Linked DNA regions of Bombyx mori. The protein of the gene in region 2 purifies or fractionates together with the protein of the main gene of each other region. This does not show direct contact. Links are inferred from orthologs where the notes say so. Each region holds a gene or a part of one and is shown on either strand. Other genes may lie near its edges.

Region 1 (3,946 bases), on a different chromosome or scaffold from region 2:
ACGTTTGGGGATTACGACCAAGGGAAGATATTTTACTAAGCTGGATACCGTCCGTCCATTTTTTACTGTTGGTAGGACCTCTTGTGAGTCGGCGCGGGTGGGTACCACCACCCTGCCTATTTCTGCCGTGAAGCAGTAATGCGTTTCGGTTTGAAGGGTGGGGCAGCCGTTGTAACTAAACTTGAGACCTTAAAACTTATATCTCAAGATGGGTGGCGCATTTACGCTGTGGATGTCTATGGGCTCCAGTAACCACTTAACATCAGGTGGGCTGTGAGCTCGTCCACCCATCTAAGCAATAAAAAAAAAGAAAAATATGATTGCTCATTGTATAAATGTAAATTTATGTTGAAAATGTAATATCAAAATACATATACATAACAAAATAGTCATAATACTGAAAGGTTTATGAAGATTACTATATATTTAAAATGTATAGTTGATGCATATATGTATGTAGCGTACTGATACTGAGGAAGTATATAGTTTTTAGTGGTGGTGCAATAAATAGCTAAATGAAAAAAGAATTGCTGTTCGTTAGTCTCGCTAAAACTCGAGAACGGCTGGACCGATTTGGCTAATTTTGGTCTTGAATTATTTGCGGAAGTCCAGAGAAGGTTTAAAAGGTAGATAAATATGAAAATGTTTGGAATTAAATAACAATTTTGTTTTTCCTTTGATGTGTCCCCCGTCGGACAAAAGTATAGAAAAGTTTAGGTCTTTTATTTATCGATTGAGGCACTACGAAGTCTGCCGGGTCAGCTAGTATAATAATAAATAAAACATATTTTTCCTGACAGTGACCGCTGACGCGTTGTTCGGTGACGCGTCAGACATAAGCACAGAAGACGAAGAACAGAAAGATCAAGACAAGCGTTCCGATCGGTCGCGTTCGAGAAGTAGGTCTGAAGATAGACGATCCGAAGATCGTAGAAGTGGTGATGAGGTATAATATACCTTTTTTGTATGTTGATAATTTTACACGACTTTGGCGGTCTGTAGTTCCTCAGGTATAGGCAACTCGGTGAGTGATGCTATCAGTTTTGATCAAGGGATAGGTGATCGAACATCTGGTATTTTCCTGTTCCTACTTCTCACGTCCTTACGGATCCATCAGATCAAATAATTCTTACATTAGACGCCTTGACCCCATTTACGAGCAACCTAACCTATACATGAGCCCGCTGAGTTTCTCGCCGGATCTTCTCAGCAGGTCGCTATTTCAATCCGGTAGTAGATTTATTCGCGAAGCAGCTGCTCTTGAGTTGCTAGGTCTCCTTTGGAGGCGCGCAGGCGGTTGTTAGCTAATCCCACACCTCCTAGCTGAGCCTTTGCTCGCTCACCTGTCCTGGTGAAACTGGAAAGGCCATCAGTAATCCCTTATTCAATAAAAAAATACCCCTCTTAATCATCATCGAAGATAATTTGAAAGTTCATCCTCCTTTTTTACTTAAATATTTACTTTGTGCCTATGAACTCCAGTAACCAGTTCATAAGACTATCTATGAGCTCGACACTCTGTCTACGTTCGTGAAAATAATCTCTCTTAATCTCTGGTTGATTTCCTGATATTTGATTCTGATGAATCATGAATGTGACGAATAGGCATTAACAACTTAGCATCTATGTTACATCTATATGGCAAATAGAGCACATCAACTTGGCATCGTTTTAGTCATTGCTAAGTGGCTCAAAGATTTGGCACTTTAGCCGGAAGTTCGCGAAAAGCCGGAAGAGGAAGAGGAAATCGAGGTTCCGGAGACGAGGATCGACGTGGACATGCCCAAGATATGGACGGAATTGGGAAAGGAATTGCACTTTGTCAAACTACCCAACTTTTTGTCGGTCGATACGAGGCCTTATGATCCTAACACGTACGAAGATGAAATCGATGAAGAGGAGACCCTGGATGAGGAAGGTCGTGCCAGGTATCGTATTTTTTTTTAAATTGTCAAAATCAGCACCCGTTCCTTTGAGCTTTCCTTAGTAATAAGTTAATTAATTCCACGACCAAACGTTGATTGGATATTTTCCGCAAAAATTGCTTTAACAAGAATGTCTGCTTCTTTGGGTAATTGGTATGGCGCTGTGATTTTATTTATTTATTTAATTAGTCTACTTACAAATTAACAGTATAAACCAAAACATTTGTAAGGTATTAATAATTAGCTTAAGTAATTTCTAACAACAACAATAAATCGCTGCAAACCATCATGGAATATATCCATTTCCGGAGCATAGCCTAGCAAGCCATTGAGTAGCGAGACAGCACGATGCGTCGGGGAGTTAGCGGTGTGCTGCGTACGCGCGTCCGTAGACTAAGAAGCTGCCGCTGGCGACGCGCCCCTCCACACATACATCCGCGCATGTAGCCATCAGGCACATATAACGACACTGATTGCAGTGCAGTGGAGTTATCAATTTTGTTATGCAATAGCTGATAATAATGCACCATAAGAATCATCTTCCGTCTGAGCTCAAGAGTATCTAATCCGACCATACCAGTCACATAAAGTGATGGATACAAGAACGGATAGTATCCATACATTTTCTTGAATAGGAACCTGCAAATTTTTTTATGTAGTTTTTCCAGCATTAGCTTTTGAACTGCTTCGCGAGGATCCCACACGAGTGCGTTATATTCAAGACTACTTCGCAAATAGGCATCGTACAGCATAACAATCACACGATGGCCTACAAAGTCGTGCATCTGACGAATTATGAACCCGAGCAGACCACTACCCCTTTTACATATATATGTATATAAGGAAATCTTATCCTCAGTTTGTCGTACAGATCTGTTATACATTAGAACCAATCATGTCTAGATTTGTTTGTAAGATCTATACAGTCTGTTTATGTAACTCTATTCGTCCAACGATTGAAAATCGACCGTAATCATTGACGTTACAAGATTTAAATTCATTTCGATAAATTTTGTCTTCTTTTTTCTTATTGACATTTTTTTTTCTTGCTTAGATGGGCAGACGAACTCACAGCCCACCTGGTGTTAAATGGTTACTGGAGCCCAAGACATCTACAACGTAAATGCGCCACCCACCTTGAGATTTATAAGTTCTAAGGTCTCAAGTATAGTTACAACGGCTGCCCCACCCTTCAAACCGAAACGCATTACTGCTTCGCGGCAGAAATAGTCAGGGTGGTGGTACCTACCCGTGCGGACTCACAAGAGGTCCTACCACCAGTAGAAAATTGTCATTGTAATAGGCTAAGACGGATTAATCTTCGTGCGTTCGATTCGTATAACACGATGTTATTTCTTCTGAACACTTGATGTCTGCTTTTTTTTGTCCTTCCTATGCTGATACCCTTGAGAGGCTATATCAGCTTCGCCCTAACGTGTAGGTGAGCTCACGGGGCTCAAACCGGAGTGTTGCTAACACTGGCCCTAGCAAGAGCAGTGCTTTGCAGAATCTACCACCGGATCGGAAACGCGACCCACTGAGAAGATCAGGCGAGAAACTCAGTGGGCTGTGTTTGTGGGTTGATGACTGCGACACGTTTTCTTGCTATTTAAATCTAAGCTCTGCGTTAACAGGTTAAAGCTGAAAGTCGAGAACACGATACGATGGAGGACGGTGTTCGACAAAGAAGGCAACGCGGTTAAAGAGTCCAACGCGCGCATGGTGAAGTGGTCGGACGGCAGCATGTCGCTGCACCTCGGCGCCGAGATATTCGACGTGTACAAACAGCCTTTGCACGTGAGTTTCATTACTTACTAATTGTACGGTTGCTTATGCAAGAGTAAAGGGTGTAAACTGCCCTTTATTAATAAAACAAGTTGATTACAATTTAACTCCGTATATTCACAAGTGTCTGCCGTGTCGGGTGGGCTATGTACGACTGACCAAATGCAAGCGATGTACGAAACTGCATACGTTGCTAAACGGTGTCCCTACACTAATGTTACGTGATGGAAAAGGGG
Region 2 (3,946 bases):
TGTAGAATAGATTAGGTATATGAAGGACTTAATTTATTTAATTTGCTCAAGTGGATGCTTAGAGAAGTTATATGTAATATGAAACTCCAATTTAATGTAGTTTTTAGTCAACCTTACAACTTTTGACCAACCAATAATTTGAGGTTGGTGTATCAGAGAACAGGATGTTGTGGTATATAATGTAATATAGATAAAATAAGTTGAAGTCTGTTTTCTTCTAACTCGTTTTATTTGTATTTTGATAAAAACTACGCTATCATTAATTTTCACATTTTTGTAGAACTAACACCGGGTGTTGAATTGTTACCGCAACCGTGAGAGCCACTTAGGGAAATAAAATCGAAAAATCAATAAGATAAATATAATGAATTTCCCCAGCCTTTCAGACCGAAACGCACGATTGCCCAGCTGCAGGTATACCTTACCTGCTACCAAAATCACGCAAATTAAAAAACACGCTATTTTCATTGATAACATACAAAGGTGTTGTATTCTAACATCAAAAATTGGTACGCGCCTATATAATTTGATACATTCGTATAACTTAAAACTGAAAATAAAGAGTGTGAAGGAACACGAATAAAGACACTACATTATCCACAGTCCAAATTAGCTGCTATGCAGACTTGCGTTTGATTTTTATTGGTCATAAACTAACTTGTAAAATATTGAAAAAAATATGTATAACTCATAATGCTTATTTAATGATGATAGGTAGATAGGACGTGCATTACGTAAGAACCGTTTAGTCTTTATCAGTTTTATTTTATTGCTTCAAGGCAAACGAACATGCAACCTAACTAGTGTAGAATGGTCACCACCCATGCATGTACAATTCCGGGAGCGCAACCATATGGCTGGTTTCCAATATTCGGAGGCAGAGACAACTATTGTTTATAACCCTCTGACCGATTTAATATCGGTTTATTATCCTCAGATCAAGAATAGTAGGTTCGGCTCAGTTCAGAATATGAATCCCAGTATTTTGGTAGCAATTACGAATTATAGACCTATTATGAACTTCTATGGTAATTAACAAGTCACCATCTAGTTTCTTATTCGACATTATGTATGACATTTAGACAACTATTATTAAATTACATTTGAGACTAGATACATGACACTAAGACCCGCCAGTTCGACTTCAAGTGGGAACAGATTAGTAGATAAATTCGCTCCGCGATGATTCGTAATCGAAAGAGGATTTTAGTCATTACCTTTCCGACATGCTCTACCCCTAGAAAAGTGGGCTCACAATAATCAGGCGAAAGTCCGGCACTTTTTTCCTGACACAAAAAACATATGTTATAATCTTCGGTTTTCCAGTACACCAAGAATAGGCTTCAATAAGATCATCATATTAGGCATACCTTTGACATCAGCGATATTTGATATCTGCGGGCTACGCTAACCAACCGCACCAAAAATAACGTTCATTTTCAAATGATGGAAGAATTATAACTATTAAGTCACATATTTTGAAAAGATATTAAACCTTGATTTTTTTTTAATAATATCCATCTCATTTTAGGAAGAAGAGCCCGACCACAAACGTTCAAAACAAACAAGTCATAGTGATGATAATTACAAGAAACATTCTGATGCACGAGAACAAAATGATGAGAGCGAAAGCGACAGTTACGAATCTGACGATTCTGAAAGTGACGATAGCGAGTCCGACTCTTCGGATTCCTCTGTTGAAGAAGTAAAGGTTAAAGAAGAAATTAATAAAACACGGTCTGACGAGAACAAACTATCAAAACATTCTTCACACAACAACCACGTAGACCACAAAAGGGAAACCTCAAGCTCAAAGAAGCAACACGAGGCTGACCCCAAACATACCGAACATCATAACTCGAAGTCGAAGCGCAGGCATTCGCCAGAAACATCGTATGAAAAATCACACCACTCTCATAGACACAAAAGCTCTAAGGAAAAAGAAAGCAGCAGCAAAGAAGCAAAACATAAATCAGACACAGATAAACATTCAGACCATTCACAGAGTAAAGATTCGAAAACGGGCAAATCATCAAGCAGTCATCACAGTTCATCGGCATCAAGTAGGCATCATAGCTCAGACAAACACAAGTCTAGTTCCAGCTCTCAAAAACATCATAATGAAGAACCGAAAATCAAACCTGAAAGACATTCCAGTCATTCAGACAAGCACAGAAGTTCCAGTGAGTCAAAAAGCGCAGAAAGGAATAAGAGTTCGTCTGAAAAAGATATTCCGAAACACAAATCATCAAAAGATAAAAGTAGCAGTAAAGAAACATTTAGTAGTAAAGATAAAGACAGACATAGTTCCTCTAGCAAGGAAAAGTCAAGAGAAAAAAGTAATTCTAAGGATAAATCGAGCACCAATAGTAATGATAAGAAGCATTCGTCTTCAAGTGATAAACACAAATCAAGTAAGAGCGAAAGCAAATCGTCAAAGAATGAAGAGAAGAGTAGTGAAAGTAAATCTAAACATAAGTCAAGTTCCTCGTCGGATCACAAAAGTAGTAAGAATAAAAGAAAAGAAGAACCAGAACCAAAGAAAAAGGCCCGTTTAACCGACGAGGACAGTGACGATGGCATCGACTGTGAATCAGGTAAATGAAGATACGCTCACAAAACTTACCTTCGAATAAAATAGAATACCTTCATACCTACCTTATATTTCAACAGGTGCGAGTTTTGCTGAAGCATTGGGCATGATCAGTCCAGCGAAACCGAAAAAGAAATCGTCACAATTGAAAGACAGTATATCTCCTAACAACATATTCGGTAACGATGTAAGTATGCGAATCGTGTACACTTTAACAAATAATTGGAATATCGTATTTTGAAATCCACTAAAACTACGTTTTTTAAATATGACATAGAATCTGTAAAAGTACACAAATGATTATAAAGACAATAATTATCTGTATTATAATATAAGAATCAGAAAAAGTACACAAATGATTATAAAGACAATAATTATCTGTATTATAATATGAGAATCAGAAATTGTAATATATTTTCTAGATGAGTCCGGCGGCTATGTTGGCTCCGACTGCAAAATTGGCGCCTTTGCCGGCATTAGAAATATCTGCACTACCAGAGATATCGCCGAACTACAAGCCCCGACCGCCTCCTAAATTTATGTTCAATTTCACAGACGAGGAGGCCTTAAGTGCAGGAATATCATCGAAAAACCAAAGGTAATCTAAAATGTTAAAAAAAATTAGAAAATGGGACATAAAAAGAATTATATTACGATTAAAATATATTTTTAAATTATGCTTAATTTCGAATAAAGAGTTTGTGATTTTGATATTTTCAGAACCAAAGTGTATTCCGGGAATAAGGTCATAGGAAAAATACCAACTCTGTATGAGATATGCGTTAACATTCTCCAAGAGCACATTGACGGTATGTATTTTTAGTATTCAATTGCAAAATGTAGAACACAGATTAACATCATTCTGTGAAGACATCCATACAATAGCTTTACTAATAACAGTGTTGTGAAGTAATTGCAACGGCTTACGATAATTTAACTGCGCTTAGTTACTTGTTTAATCAATCAACTTACCTGTGTTAATATATAAAGTGTACGAAAATAATTAAGGGAAACTTAAGCAAAATGTACCTTACAGAAATTTATATTTCCTTTTTTAGTAAGTTAGTTAGTATTTCCTAATTAGTTTGGTAATACACAATCTGAAAAACATAACTGGTAAATGTTGTCAAAATCGTATAACATTTCGAAGATTTTTTAATTTTATCATGTCATTTAGCACCTGTCCTTATTTTCGAGTAACCTTACATTCGATATTATGTCAATCTATTTTCTGGGCAAGTGCCTAAGTTAAATTTATATCATAACAACACAAAGTGTCATCAGTGAGAAATTAAGAACACTTAATATTTTTAGCACTGGAGTACACAGGCGGTGTGCCATATGAAATATTAA

What was found. Proteins that work in one complex are often made in the same cells at the same time.
Region 1: the proteins of transcription elongation factor B polypeptide 3 (region 2) and another transcription unit protein purify together in Homo sapiens (affinity purification with mass spectrometry; 3 studies listed by BioGRID and IntAct, with this or other methods). This does not show direct contact. The link is inferred for Bombyx mori from reciprocal best matches to the Homo sapiens genes ELOA and LEO1.

What each region holds. Positions count from the first base shown.
Region 1 is NC_085113.1:9,404,847-9,408,792, reverse strand, and holds part of another transcription unit protein, read left to right. Parts: intron 1-800; coding exon 801-946; intron 947-1,710; coding exon 1,711-1,928; intron 1,929-3,559; coding exon 3,560-3,722; intron 3,723-3,946. UniProt on the Homo sapiens protein: Component of the PAF1 complex (PAF1C) which has multiple functions during transcription by RNA polymerase II and is implicated in regulation of development and maintenance of embryonic stem cell pluripotency.
Region 2 is NC_085112.1:7,694,699-7,698,644, forward strand, and holds part of transcription elongation factor B polypeptide 3, read left to right. Parts: intron 1-1,531; coding exon 1,532-2,597; intron 2,598-2,673; coding exon 2,674-2,780; intron 2,781-3,015; coding exon 3,016-3,191; intron 3,192-3,313; coding exon 3,314-3,402; intron 3,403-3,907; coding exon 3,908-3,946. UniProt on the Homo sapiens protein: SIII, also known as elongin, is a general transcription elongation factor that increases the RNA polymerase II transcription elongation past template-encoded arresting sites.